2 linked regions of the Stegostoma tigrinum genome follow. The protein of the gene in region 2 binds, or shares a complex with, the protein of the main gene of each other region. Links are inferred from orthologs where the notes say so. Each region holds a gene or a part of one and is shown on either strand. Other genes may lie near its edges.

What was found.
Region 1: the proteins of phf2 (region 2) and vrk1 are in contact, whole or in part, in a crystal structure (PDB 8F8Y), measured with the Homo sapiens proteins. The link is inferred for Stegostoma tigrinum from reciprocal best matches to the Homo sapiens genes PHF2 and VRK1. Residues at the interface, in NP_005383.3 of Homo sapiens: Tyr7, Tyr14, Val16, Thr17, Arg18, Phe19, Met20, Ile21, Glu22, Trp29, Glu39, Ala42, Ile45, Asp46, Tyr48, Lys64, Tyr145, Ser147, Glu150, Lys175, Val178, Asp179, Tyr182, Ser183, Thr184; in NP_003375.1 of Homo sapiens: Pro2, Arg3, Val4, Lys5, Ala6, Ala7, Gln8.

Annotation. Positions count from the first base shown.
Region 1 is NC_081363.1:21,077,872-21,085,418, forward strand, and holds the start of vrk1 (serine/threonine-protein kinase VRK1), read right to left. Parts: upstream 3,037-7,547; 5' UTR 2,921-3,036; intron 1-2,920. Other genes in the region: si:dkey-288a3.2 (protein phosphatase 1 regulatory subunit 37), read left to right, coding at 5,168-5,275, 6,893-7,169. UniProt on the Homo sapiens protein: Serine/threonine kinase involved in the regulation of key cellular processes including the cell cycle, nuclear condensation, transcription regulation, and DNA damage response.
Region 2 is NC_081364.1:27,942,353-27,949,389, forward strand, and holds the start of phf2 (lysine-specific demethylase phf2), read right to left. Parts: upstream 3,017-7,037; 5' UTR 2,659-3,016; coding exon 2,561-2,658; exon of another isoform or gene 2,411-2,560; intron 1-2,410. UniProt on the Homo sapiens protein: Lysine demethylase that demethylates both histones and non-histone proteins. Enzymatically inactive by itself, and becomes active following phosphorylation by PKA: forms a complex with ARID5B and mediates demethylation of methylated ARID5B.

The DNA.
Region 1 (7,547 bases), on a different chromosome or scaffold from region 2:
TCCTGGGGAGTGCTGCTGACAAACAGATCTTGGAGTGCAGGTTCATAGTTCCTTGAAAGTGGAGCGTCAGGTAGACAGGGTAGTGAAGATGGCTTACAGTATGCTTGCCTTTATTGGTCAGTACATTTGAGTATAGGAGTTGAGAGGTCATGTTGGGGTTGTACACAACATTAGTTCGGCCACTTTTGGAATACTGCATGTAATTTTGGTCTCCCTCCCATAGGAAGGATGTTGTGAAACTTGAACGGGCTCAGAAAATATTTACAAAGATGATGACAGGGTTGGAGGGTTTGAGCTAATGGGGGAGGCTGAATAAGCTAGGGCTATTTTCCTTGGAGTGTCAGCAGCTGAGGAGTGACCTTATAAAGGTTTATAAAACTATGAGGGGCATGGCTAGTCAAAATCTTTTCCCCACAACTGGGGAATCCAAAACTACAAAGCATAGGCTTAAGGAGAGAGAAAAAAAAAAAGAGTAAAAGGGACACAAGAGAAAACTTCAAGCAGATGGTGGTGCATGTATGGAATGAGCTAGTCGAGGAACAGGAGGAGGCTGGTATAATTACAACGTATAAAAGGCATCTGGATGGGGAAATGGCCCAAATACTGGAAAATAAGACTAGATTAATTTAAGATGCCTGCTCAGCGTGGGCAAGTTGGACCGAATGGTCTATTTCCTTGCTGTATATTTCTACTACTTTATGACCATATTCCTTGGTGAATCACATTATTAGGGGTTGAGGAGGGGTTGAAGAGGATAGCAACAGGGCAAACAGTGGAGGGAGTGGGCAGACGGAGGAGGTGCAAGAGGCAGTGCGGGAAGAGTTGGGGGGGGGGAAAACAGTGTGGGGACAGCAGGGAGGGTGTCTGTGTGGGGGGGGGGTTTGGGGTAAGGGTAGGGGTTGGCAGGTACTGGAGTGAGGGTAGTAGAGCAGATGGGTTTGCAGGGAGGAGTGGCAGGAGGCCACTGCAGTAGGGGTGAAGACGAGGGTGGTTCAGGCAGAGGGATGCAGGGGGACGGGGGTTAATGCAGGGGGCGTTAATTCAGAGGGGGAGGCTAATGCAGGGGGCGTTAATTCAGAGGGGGGGGAGGAGTTAATGCAGGGGGCGTTAATTCAGAGGGAGGGGAGTTAATGCAGGGGGCACTAATTCAGAGGGGGGGGTAATGCAGGGGGCGTTAGTTCAGAGGGGGGGTAATGCAGGGGGCATTAATTCAGAGGGGGGAGTTAATGCAGGGGGCGCTAATTCAGAGGTGGGGTAATGCAGGGGGCGTTAATTCAGAGGTGGGGTAATGCAGGGGGCATTAATTCAGAGGGGGGTAATGCAGGGGGCGTTAATTCAGAGGGAGGGGAGTTAATGCAGGGGGCGTTAATTCAGAGGGAGGGAGGGGTAATGCAGGGGGCGTTAATTCAGAAGGGGGGGTAATGCAGGGGGCGTTAATTCAGAGGGAGGGAGGGATAATGCAGGGGGCGTTAATTCAGAGGGAGGGAGGGGTAATGCAGGGTGCGTTAATTCAGAGGGAGGGGAGTTAATGCAGGGGGCGCTAATTCAGAGGGGGGGTAATGCGGGGGGGGGTAATGCAGGGGGCGTTAATTCAGAGGGGGGGTAATGCAGGGGACATTAATTCAGAGGGAGGGGAGTTAATGCAGGGGGCGTTAATTTAGAGGGGGGAGTTAATGCAGGGGGCGTTAATTCAGAGGTGGGGTAATGCAGGGGGCGTTAATTCAGAGGGGGGGTAATGCAGGGGGCATTAATTCAGAGGGAGGCGAGTTAATGCAGGGGGCGCTAATTCAGAGGGGGGGTAATGCAGGGGGCATTAATTCAGAGGGGGGTAATGCAGGGGGCGTTAATTCAGAGGGAGGGGAGTTAATGCAGGGGGCGTTAATTCAGAGGGAGGGGAGTTAATGCAGGGGGCATTAATTCAGAGGGAGGGGAGTTAATGCAGGGGGCATTAATTCAGAGGGAGGGGTTTAATGCAGGGGGCATTAATTCAGAGGGAGTGGGTAATGCAGGGGGCGTTAATTCGGAGGCGGGGTGTAATGCAGGGGGTGTTAATTCAGAGGGAGGGGGGTAATGGAGGGGGCGTTAATTCAGAGGGAGGGGGGTAATGGAGGGGGCGTTAATTCAGAGGGAGGGGGGTAATGGAGGGGGCGTTAATTCAGAGGGAGGGGGGTAATGGAGGGGGCGTTAATTCAGAGGGAGGGGGGGTAATGGAGGGGGCGTTAATTCAGAGGGGGGGTAATGGAGGGGGCATTAATTCAGAGGGAGGGGGGGTAATGGAGGGGGCGTTAATTCAGAGGGGGGGGGTAATGGAGGGGGCGTTAATTCAGAGGGGGGGTAATGGAGGGGGCATTAATTCAGAGGGAGGGGAGTTAATGCAGGGGGCATTAATTCAGAGGGAGGGGTTTAATGCAGGGGGCGTTAATTCAGAGGGAGGGGGGGTAATGCAGGGGGCGTTAATTCAGAGGGAGGGGGGGTAATGCAGGGGGCGTTAATTCAGAGGGAGGGACGGGGGGTAATGCAGGGGGCGTTAATTCAGGGGGGGGTAATGCAGGGGGCGTTAATTCAGAGGGGGGTAATGCAGGGGGCATTAATTCAGAGGGAGGGGGGGTAATGCAGGGGGCGTTAATTCAGAGGGAGGGGGGGTAATGCAGGGGGCGTTAATTCAGAGGGGGGTAATGCAGGGGGCATTAATTCAGAGGGAGGGGGGGTAATGCAGGGGGCGTTAATTCAGAGGGAGGGGGCGTTAATTCAGAGGGAGGGGGGGTAATGCAGATTAAGGGGGTTAATGCGGAAGCAGCTCCAGCACAGACCGGTGAATAGACATGGGGCGATCAGCTTGAGTTTTCGGCCTGCTTGCTGTGAGCCTGCGTTTTCTCCTTTTGCCTTGTGTCCCATCTGGCCCACCCCAGGTCACACTCACCCCAGCCGCTGATGGAGATCTTTCTGGTCGCTCGCTCTCGCTCTCTCTGAAATTGGCGCACAAACTGTCAATTTCCCGTGGCCCCGTGCCAGATCACACTAACAATCCTCCTCATTGGTCAGCACCGCAATGAGTAAAGAGGCATCCCATTAGCCGCGACGGACCCCGCCCTTTGCCCAATCCGCGGTGAGATTGTGAGTCGGGAGGCGGAGCCACTAACTGTCCATCAAAGCCTACAACAACAACAACAACAACAACTTAATACCTCTCCCACCTCTGCTGCAGAGTCCCACTTAACCCCCAAATCCTTGATGAGAGCTTTGGAACTGGAGATCATCTCACCTTCAGAACCAGAATTTGCTATAAAATCTCAGCTGATCTGGCAGCATGTGTGGAGAGAAAGTAGAGTTACTGTTTCGAGTCCAGTGGTTCTTCATCAGACTTAATCATGGTATGTCAATTTCCATCTGCATTTTGTCCCCTGCTGACATTCTTCTGCAATTTCTGTTTTTGCTTTGGGGGGTGTCCTGGTGATTTGGCAGGGTCACCACATACGGATTCAGGTGCCAGGTAGAAGCCATGTGTCTAGGTCAGAAGCCACACCAGGAACATTGATTTCTGTCCAAATCGCTGCATGGCACCACCATTTGCAAGTTCCTGTCTAAGACATACCATCCTGACTTGGAACTTTGTTGCTATCCTTCACTGTTGCCAGATCAAGATCATGAAAACCTCTTCCTTCTGTTTTCATTGAGAATCCTTCCCAAATCTACTACTCTGAAGGAAAAAAAACACTTGATTAGATTTTCAGAAATGGTTCACTTTAATCTCAAAGTGAAAATAACATCTGTTAATATAGGCAGATTTTTTCTCATTCGTTGTATGTTGCATTCTGTCTTTTTTATTCTGTGTTCATTGTTTTAGGTAGCTCACTTGTAGCTCAATGGAGGGGTGTTACAACTTAGCCTGCCCATCAGGCCCTTGAAGTTTAGTTAACTTATAACTTCATATTTTCTAGTTTAACAAGTTTACATTTTATGACCTCAATCTTGGATGAATCCATTTGTACATTTTTTGATCAGTACCTTAAAGTAACTACAATTGACCAGAAGATGGTGTTAACAGTTCTAATGGGTTTAGAATTGGGTGAGACCATAAAACCAGGTGAGAGATATCCCAGGTTGCTGTGGGTGGCAACAGAGTAGATTTCAAGGGCTCTGGCATTAAATCCCCTCTGGATACAGGAAATGTGCCAAAGGACAGAGGCGCAGCCAATGTGGACCCATTTTTCAAGAAGAATGGTAGGGATAAAACTGGGAAGTATAGTGAGTCTAACATCTGTGGTGGAGGAACTGTTGGAGAAAATTCTGCGGTACAGATTAATCCCCACATGAAGAGACAAGGATTAATCAAGAATGGCATGGCTTTGTCAAGAGGAGATCATGCCTAACAACTTTTTTGAAGAGGTGACTAGATGTGTGGATGAGGGCTTTTAATACAATCAAAGGATGTGAACATCTCTGGATGGGCCAGCATTCAGTGCCCATTCCTAATTGCCCAGAGGGCAGTTAAAAGCCAACCATATTGCAGTGGGTCTGGAGTCATGTGTAGGCCAGACCAGGTAAGGATGGCTCATTTCCTTCCCTAAAGGACATTAGTGAATGAGATGGGTTTTTTCCCTTGACAATCGACAACTGTTTCATGGCCATCAGCGGACTTTTGTGTCCAGAGTATTATTAAATTCAAATTCTGTCACCTGCCATGTCCCCAGAACATTGCCTGGATCTCTGGATTAGTAGCCTAGTGATAATACTACCATGCCACCACCTAATCTATGGAAGTGTGCTGGATGTAGTCTACATGAACTTCAGTAAGGCTCTTGACAAGGTTTCACATAGAAGATTGGTTTAGAAACTAAGACCCCATGGAATCCAGGGAAATCTGGCAAATTGGAGTCAGTTTGGAGGCAGTTTGTGTAGTGTGATAGTCTTTGTGTCTGGAAATTTATAACCAGTGGTGTACCACATTGTTTGCTGCTGCTTCGCTGCTGTTTGTAGTGTGCATTAAAGGTCTGGACATGAATATAGGAGGTTTATACAGGAAGTGCACAGATCACATGAAAATTGAGGTTTGTTGAACTGAAAGGAGGAAAGCCTTCGATGACAGGCTAGTATAGATGTGCTGGCAGAACAAGGCAAATGGAATTTAATCCAAAAAAGTATAAAGTGATGCATTTCGGTGTACATGATGACAAGACAAGAAAGTCGTGACGCCCGAGGAAATGCATGTGATCAGAAGGCCTTTAGTGTGCACATCCAAAGATCCTTGAAAGCAACAGGACAGTTTGATAAGGTGGTAAAGAATGCATATGGGTGCTTGCCATTATTAGTTGAGGTTTTGAACATAAGAGCAGGGAGATTATGATGCACCTGCACAACATGCTACTTAAGCCATAACTGAAGTAAAGTTCACACTGTTGGAGAGAAATGTTGCCTGAGTTTGGAATGTTTCAGCTACGAAGACAGAATAGTTAGGCTGATGTTGTTTTCCTTAGAGCAGTGAAGGGAAAAAGCGGAACCTGACAGAGAAATGCAAAAATTATGGAACAACAGAGATAGGGTGGTTAGGAAAGAATCTTTTCCCCTTAGTAGAGTACTCCATAACAAGGGGTATAGATTTAAGGAGCAAAAGCAGAAATTGCTGGTAATAAGTGTGGAGAGAAATCAGAGTTAATGTTTCTGGTTGAGTTTCTGATGTTGTTTCTGATTTACAACAACCACAGTTTTTCAGATTTTGACAGGGATTTGAAGTACATGTTTAGAGGCGATTAAGGGAACATTTTAATCCCAAACACAGTGTGAATCTGGAATTCACTGCCTGAAAAGATAGTAAAGGTGGCAGCTATCACAACATTCAAGAAGTAGATAGGAGTTTGATCTCCGGCATAGAAATAATGGACTGAACTTTCCCACACTATAAAACTCTGACTTGTGCCTCAGTAAGGATGTGTTAATACCAGCAATTTGAAATATGGATAAATTAATGAGATCACAAATTTAATTTCAAATTTGCATCTGACCCTCATGTCCTGTGGCAGACACTTGCAGAGCCCATGAAGTCAAAAAGATCGAATGGCCCCACTTTACATCATCACTTCCTCTTTTCTCTCAATGATTTTTTTTCCCCCCGAAACATTTAATGGAATTAGAAGAAATAAAATTAGCAGCGGGACTTTTTTTTAACTGAAGTATATAATGGAATACCCCATAGGCATTATCATCTAACTAACTGCTACTCTGAGACCAGCCCGGTCTTTTCAGTCTAGTTGTTTGGTCATGTAACCAATTACTACTGACAATATTAATGGGAATTGCAGATGCTGGAGAATCCGACAATACAATGTGTGGAGCTGGATGAACACAGCAGAATAAAGCTTTACTGATGAAGAGTCAAGACCCGAAACGTCAGCTTTTGTGCTCCTAAGATGCTGCTTGGCCTGCTGTGTTCATCCAGCTCCACACTTTGTTATCTCTAACTACTGACAATGGACAGGTTAGAGAGGATCAACTAGTGCTGGTATTTGTCCATGATGGAAGAAAATAAGGAAGGAAAATTTGTAAATTAGCCTTAGATCTTACAGACTGATAAGTAGCCCTGATCTATTTTACATAAAATATTGTATTTTTAGTTTTTTTTTACATTATATTTGTTGGTAATGGGATGTATTTGGTATAATTTCATGCAATTTATGCATATTTGGATAACTCCAGAGATGTTGGCAATATTTTTCTTATATTAAACATTCAGGAAAACAAACCTGATTACGAGGTATGAAGCACATAAAACTGTAATTAAATATTTACTTCATGGAAGAAAAATAATTTGTGAGGAAGACAAAGTGAATATGAAAATCTCTAGCTCAGTAGACAGGTTCATGTAGTTTCTTTTTAAATTATTAAACTACTGTGAAAGGTATCACATGGACAGTTCTGTGAAACGAGAGAACCTGTGACTGTGTTTTCACATCAAGCTACAAACAATGAGATGAGTGCAACAGAAAATGCCTACGAGGGACAGCTGCAAACATCTGTACTCACTAACAATGTGGATGCCAAAGATGTCACTACTGTTCAACAGGACACAAGTTTAAATAATGGACTGAAAGCTAAACCAAAGAAACATGTCAGTTTTCCTTCAGGGGGAGAGATCGTCTCTGGATCAGCAGAACCCTGGAATCCATGGGAAGCTGGTAAGTACAGGACATTATTTCTTGAACATGTCCAAGTAAAATTAAACCTCCATATTACAAGCCATTAAGTATGGCTAAGATAGTGCTAATCAGACATTTTTGTGAAAATGAGGATTTACATTTTTGTGGCACCTTTCATGGCTATTCAACATCTCAAAGCACTTTAAAGCCACCTGAGTAATTTTGAAGTATCGTCATAGAAACAAAGATAGGATCAGGAGGAGGCCATTCAGCCCTTCAAGCCTGCTTCGCCATTCCTCACGCTCATGGCTGATTGTCCAACTCAAAAGCCTAATCCTGCTTTCTCCCCATAACAAAGAACAAAGAAAATTACAGCACAGGAACAGGCCCTTCGGCCCTCCAAGCCTGAGCCGATTG
Region 2 (7,037 bases):
TGGAAATGTTTTGCGACTGGGAGGTGCAGTTGTTTATTGCGAACCGAGCGGAGGTGTTCTGCAAAGCGGTCCCCAAGCCTCCGCTTGGTTTCCCCATTTCCACTCCCCCTCCCATTCTTTAGATGACACGTCCATCGTGGGCCTCCTGCAGTGCCACAATGATGCCACCCGAAGGTTGCAGGAACAGCAATTCATATTCCGCTTGGGAACCCTGCAGCCCAATGGTATCAATGTGGACTTCACCAGCTTCAAAATCTCCCCTTCCCCCACCGCATCCCAAAACCAGCCCAGTTCGTCCCCTCCCCCCACTGCACCACACAACCAGCCCAGCTCTTCCCCTCCACCCACTGCATCCCAAAACCAGTCCAACCTGTCTCTGCCTCCCTAACCTGTTCTTCCTCTCACCCATCCCTTCCTCCCACCCCAAGCCGCACCTCCATCTCCTACCTACTAACCTCATCCCACCTCCTTGACCTGTCTGTCTTCCCTGGACTGACCTATCCCCTCCCTACCTCCCCACCTATACTCTCCTCTCCACCTATGTTCTCTTCTCTCCATCTTCGGTCCGCCTCCCCCTCTCTCCCTATTTATTCCAGAACCCTCATCCCATCCCCCTCTCTGATGAAGGGTCAAGGCCCGAAACATCAGCTTTTGCACTCCTGAGATGCTGCTGGGCCTGCTGTGTTCATCCAGCCTCACATTTCATTATCTTGGATTCTCCAGCATCTGCAGTTCCCATTATCACTGCATATTAAAGAGATTTGCCAGTTAACCACCCAAGAGAGTGTAGTTAGCTTCAGCTGTCAAAACTATGACAAAGAAAGTTAGCTGTTTGCCAGTTACTTTCTAACCTGCTCAAATCAGTTAATTATAAATACTGTACATTCGCAAAATGATAATAAATTGACGAGTGTCTGTCAGTGACCACACACTTGTTTCTAAATATTAAATGATCAAGATTTGGCTAAAATGTCAAAAGATGTCTAAATAAAAAAGTATTTAATACAGCTGATGAAACTTTTAGTTAATTTTTAACATAGGTTGAACTACTGGTGATAGAATACGAAAAAAAAACCTAATTTTTATTATTTTTTAAAATGTCCTCTGATCAATCTCCAGCTTGGTGGGCTTCTAGCGCTTTTCTGAAATCGTTAAAAGCAGCTAAGTGCAGCATGATTCAGCCACAGGTGAGTAATCTTCACGACAGTCCCTTCAGTCAGTCAACTACTTATTACTTGACCGAACCAGAGATTGGATTCATACGGGAGAAGTTGAAGGGAGAAAACTCCAGCTTCATTATGAGTTGACACATGTCTCTGCTCTATTTATTTACTCAGAAAAAAAAACTTAAATATATAATTAAGCAATCGATTTTTTCTCGAAAAGTTAGTTATTCATAAGTTTCTAATGGGAAGGGGGAGCTACTGACCGAAATTGTATTTTTAAGTCACCAAAAACATTCAAATGGTATGTTCTATTTCACATAAGATGGTAAGCGCCAAAAACTTTGAAGAAGTTTGTGTGCTGGTGATCTATGTTCCTAAACGTATTTAAGAAGGACAATTTCAAAACACTAACTGTACAAACCGCCAGACCAAACACATTTTGTCTTTTTTCTTCGTTATACAGTAAATATAGACGAAATGGATTCCTGGCATGTTGCATGCATCAGGGAAAAAAAACTTTCAGGTGCTATTTAACTTCAAAATTAATCGACAGTTAACAGTGAAACCCGTTTCTTTTTAAAAACGGACTGAAAATCAAGGGATTAAGAAACGTCAGCAAAGGCCTTCTGACATTTATTTTCAGAAACCACACGTGGAAATACTATAAATAAAACGCAAGTTAAATGTCAACATTTACGTCTGCCCGATCAGGTCCCGCTTATTTTATCAATTTAAACAAAAGCGGGAATCGTCCCGGGGGCAGAAATCGTAGATTATTAAATCACCAAGAGCTGCTCAAAAATATCCCACCAGTTCGGTCGTGAGCAGGAGAGAAGCGCCTTGCGATTTGTAAACACATTCAGACGGTGCAAAAATCACATAATTTGCGTATACATATCTTCAGCTGTTTTATTTCGGGAGATTTTAAGGATCACTGATCAGAAACAAAACATGGGGAACACCTTTCACAACATTTAATACAAATTGTCTTCACAAACGCCATCCTTTACGGGGCCCCGCCACCACCACCACAACAACAACAACAAAAACAACCCCCACCGCCCCCCAGCCATCATCAAACATCTTGCTGGAGGTTGGGGGGGCGCTGATCTCTCAGAAAGGCGAATATTTACACAATGATAAATAGCTTCTGTCACCCGGAGAGAGCCGTCTGCAGCGCCGCCTTCTTCCTCAGGCCTCGCTTCTTGTAAAACTGTCGCCACAGTCAATGGACTGCACAGCTCCCGCCAACACTTCACAGACCGCCCGCCCGACCGACCGCCACACACACACACACCGAAAGCGGCAACCAGATCACACAACAAAAAAAACCGGACAAAGGCCGGGGAAGGAAGGGAGCCGGGGGTGAGAGAGAGGACAAAGCTGCCTTTTACCTGCCGTGAAACCAGTCTTTGCACGCATCGCATTCAATCATAAATCGAGTTACGTCGTAAGGTAACCGACAGATGCAGTAGACTGGTACAGTCGCCATGTTTTTAGCTGGCTCCCCAGAATGAGAGCAAAGCGCCTTCTTGCCGCACACAACAATTCTTGCAAATGTTTCCTCTTCTTCCCCCTCCGTCAACTCTGTGTTTCTGCGATGGCTGGCCGCCCTGTCTACGGTCTGTGAATTTTTCCTGTCTTGTTTCTCTCTCCTCCGCCCTCCCTCTCCCCGACACACTCAGACATAACCTTCCTTCTGAAGTTGCTCACATCGTCTCTAAGCTGCGGCTCCGGGCACAATGCGCTCGCTCTCCCTCTCTGCCGTTGCCTGACAGTTGTATACTGTACGGAGCAGACTGTATCCTTTCATTGCTAAATTACGTCAGGCAACTCACTGGCTCTCAGAGCTTCAATACTATTGTAACCAGTGCATCGACACTGAGCAGCCAGCTCCCCTGCCACAATGTAACAACAGCCTGCTTCCCATCAAACTTCAGAAATAGGGACAGCAAAACACACCTTCATTTTTATTTGCGCCTTAAAAGTTGTCCATGGATCTGTAACTGTATCCGCACTATACCCTTCCCCTCTGTCTAAAGCTGTTACTTATTGCATTTTATGCAGTAAAAAAGTATCGTAAACGCAGAGTCAAATTTTAAAAATTGGAAGTTAGTTACGATCAAAAGAATATTGAAAGGTTGCTAGAGAAATAACATATTACCACGCCACGTTATTTGTTGAATGGGCAAAGTAATTTTAGAACATGAATTCTCTACTCACATTCTGGAACAAACCACGTTTGGGAAAAAAAGTGATGTTTATTTATGCTAGCCAGAAAAAAATGTAATATGTAATACAGTAATTATGGATACAAACAACTGATCAATTCTTGAATTATGATAGAGGACCTCGAGGTATAACTGATATTTTTACATCACGTGTAAATTTGTTAAAATTTCTATCCGATATGCCAGCTTTACTGCATTCAGCACAGCTATTAAATGGATAAAGAGTAGATAATCATCGTAAATCAAATGGTTGATGTAACTTTAAAATGTGAATTTATACTAATCAACAGTATTCAATTTCAATGAGATAGTAGTGCAGCATCTGTCTAGCTGCAAGTGTACAATAACTATTCCTCTCAGTAGCGAGGTCTGTGTGCAGTTTGATTCTTGCACAGGCAGCATTTTCCCAATAGGGATAAAATATTGAGAATATTTTGTCTTTAAATATTAAAATTAACGTTAAAACATTTGATATTCAATTTCACATTGAAGACTGAACCTTTTTTTGTTTCAAATCAGGTTTAACATTATACTCAGTTTTCAGTCAACATAGTGCCACTGCAGAACTAAGTGAAAATTATCTGCAGAGAATTGTACACTGCTTCACTCTAGGATCACATCAGACCCTAACTCTGGCTCTGCAGTGAAACAAAAATGTGAAATGAAAATTGTTCCACATCAATGCTAAAGTTGTGCTGGCAATCTACCCTAAAGCATTCACTTAACTTTACAGTTCTGTCCACATTTATAAGCCACTTGAAATGCAGTTTTCATATGTTAGATAATCAGGAATCTTCAATTGAATTAAACAAACAGTAATGCTGAAAAGTCTAGAATTATGAAATGAAATCATAAATTTCCTAAATATATAGCTGGGCAATCAGCAACTGAAACAGACAGACAAAGCAACGTGCCAAGGAGAATTTACAGGATAAACTCTTACCTTTCAGTAAAAGCAAAATCACAGGATCATCAAGTCTTTACAGCACAGAATGAAATTAATCAGCCATTGTGTCCGCACCAACTCTCCAAACGAACATCATGACTTACTGGCATTCTTGTATCTTTTCCCTTTACTGTTGCACATTATTTAAGCAGAAACAGTCATTAATGCCCGCTTGAATATCTCAATTGAATCCACCTTTACTACACTTTCAGGCGGCATTTTCTCGGCCCATTGTGTAAAAAAAAATTCTCTCACACCTCACTTGCTTCTTTTGCAAATCATTTTAAGTCTGTGTTTTCTTGTTTTTGATTCTTTTACAAGCAAGAGCAGTTTTTCCCAGTCTACTTTACCCCTTCATGATTTTGAAAATTTCCATCAGCTCGCCTCTTACGCTTGTCCTCTACAAAAAGAAGTCTCCCCTCTATTCCTATTACTAAGCTTTCTCATTCCAAGAACCATCTTTGTAGATATATTTGGCATTTTCTCCAATGTCTTCATATCCTTCCAAAAGTGTGGCACCCATAACTGTAAACAATACTGCAGCTAAGACCTGACAAGTGCCTTTCATAAGTTCAACATCATCTCCTTTACTACTTGTCTATTAACTACTCTCTCCACCTGCCCTGCTATCATCAATAATCTGTGCATGTTTACTTCCAGAACCCTCTGTTTCTGCAACCCCTTTAGAATATCCAAGGTACCTCACTTTGCTGCATTAAACTTGATCTGCTACCTAACCACCCACTCCACCAACATGTCCACGTCCTTCTGAACTTCTCCACTGTCTTTCACACAGTTTACAATCATCCATATCCTTTGAAATTATCCACTATGTACAAAGATCCAGACTATTAATATACATCAAGAAAATCATGAATCCCAATAGCAACCCCTGGGGGACTCGATTAAAAATCTTCCTCCAGCACAAAAAATATCAATTGACCACTGATCTATGTTTTCTGTTACTCAGCCAATTTTGTATCCATGTTGATAGTCACTTTTATTCCATGAACTATCACTTTTTCCACATCTTCGGTATGGTATTTGCATGTCCATTCATGCCACATCAATAACTTTATACTGATTAATTCCTGTATTTTGAAAAATTTCAGCAAGTTAGTTAAATGTGATTTCCCCTTTAGAAATGCATCTTGGCTCATGCTAATCAACCTACTTTTTTCAACATGACGACAAATTGTACCCCAAATAATTGATTCCAGAAGCTTTCCTACCACTGATGTTAAATTGATTAATCTTCAGGTTGCCAGGCTTATCCTTACATCATTTTTGAACAAGAGTGTGATTATTGCAATTCTACAGTCTTCTGACTCCTCTCCTGAGCCCAGGGAAAACTGAAAGATTTTGGCCACTGTCACTGCAACTTCCACCCTCACTTCTTTAATAAATCCTGGATGCATCTGCCAGCCCCAGGATGTTGTCAACTTTAAGTACCAACAGTCAATACAACATTTCTTCCAGTAATTTTGGCTCTAGTGACCAACCTTTGTCACCATGACCTGGGTAATAATCACTTCCTTCTTTACGACAGATGCAAACTATTAATTTAGTTTGCTCCCATTCTCCACATGTAAATCCCCTTTTCCATCCTTGATTCGTCCTATCCCACATTTTGTGACTCCCTCACTATTTTACATCTTTTGAAGACTTTGAGGTTCCCTTTATGTTGGCTGCCAGTCTGTTCTTGTAATTCATTTTTGCTTCTCTAACATGCTTTCTCAACTCCCTTCTGAATCTTTAATCTTTTGCTTAGTCCTCAATTGTATTTTCAACCTGACACCTGCCATAAAAATACTTTTCTCTCTTTTTCTTAATTTCTATCTCATTTGTCATCCAGTGACATCAGGATTTGTTTGTCCTATCTTTCCTATTTGAAGGAATACACCTTGACTGTATTCAATAGACAATAGGTGCTGGAGTAGGCCATTCATTACGATCTTGGCTGATCATCCACAATCAGTATCCTGTTCTTGCCTTATCCCCATAACCCTTCATTCCACTATCTTTAAGAGCTCTATCTATCTCTTTCTTGAAACTATCCAGAGACTTGGCCTCCACTGCCTTCTGGGGCAGAGCATTCCATATATCCACCACTCTCTGGGTGAAGAAGTTTTTCCTCAACTCTGTTCTAAATGGCCTACCCCTTATTTTTAAACTGTGTCCTCTGGTTCTGGACTCACCCATCAGCGGAAACATGCTTCCTGCCTCCAGAGTGTCCAATCCCTGAATAATCTTATACGCCTCAATCAGATCCCCTCTCATCCTTCTAAACTCAAGTGTATTCAAACCATCTCCTTTTTTGACACAGCCGATTGCTCAGAAACAGTGTCTCCTGAACCTTTCGTTCCAGTCAATCCAGCCCAACTCCTTTCTTTTGCCCATTGAAGTCGGGTCTATGCCAACTGTTATTTTCATACTTCTGTATTGAACATTATCACTTACTCCATTATCCTAAACATTACAACAGAATGATCATTTCTTCCTCAATGTTTCTCCACTGGCACTTGATCTACTTGACCCACTTCATTTTCAAGAACCAGGTCCAACACTGTATCCTTTGCTTTTCGACCAGACACATACTGGTGTCGGAAAAAGACTACACCGAACAACTTTATTGCACCGTTCTTGTTCCTAAACTGCGGTGAAATTGATTCTGTCCTTGAACCCTCTGGGCCA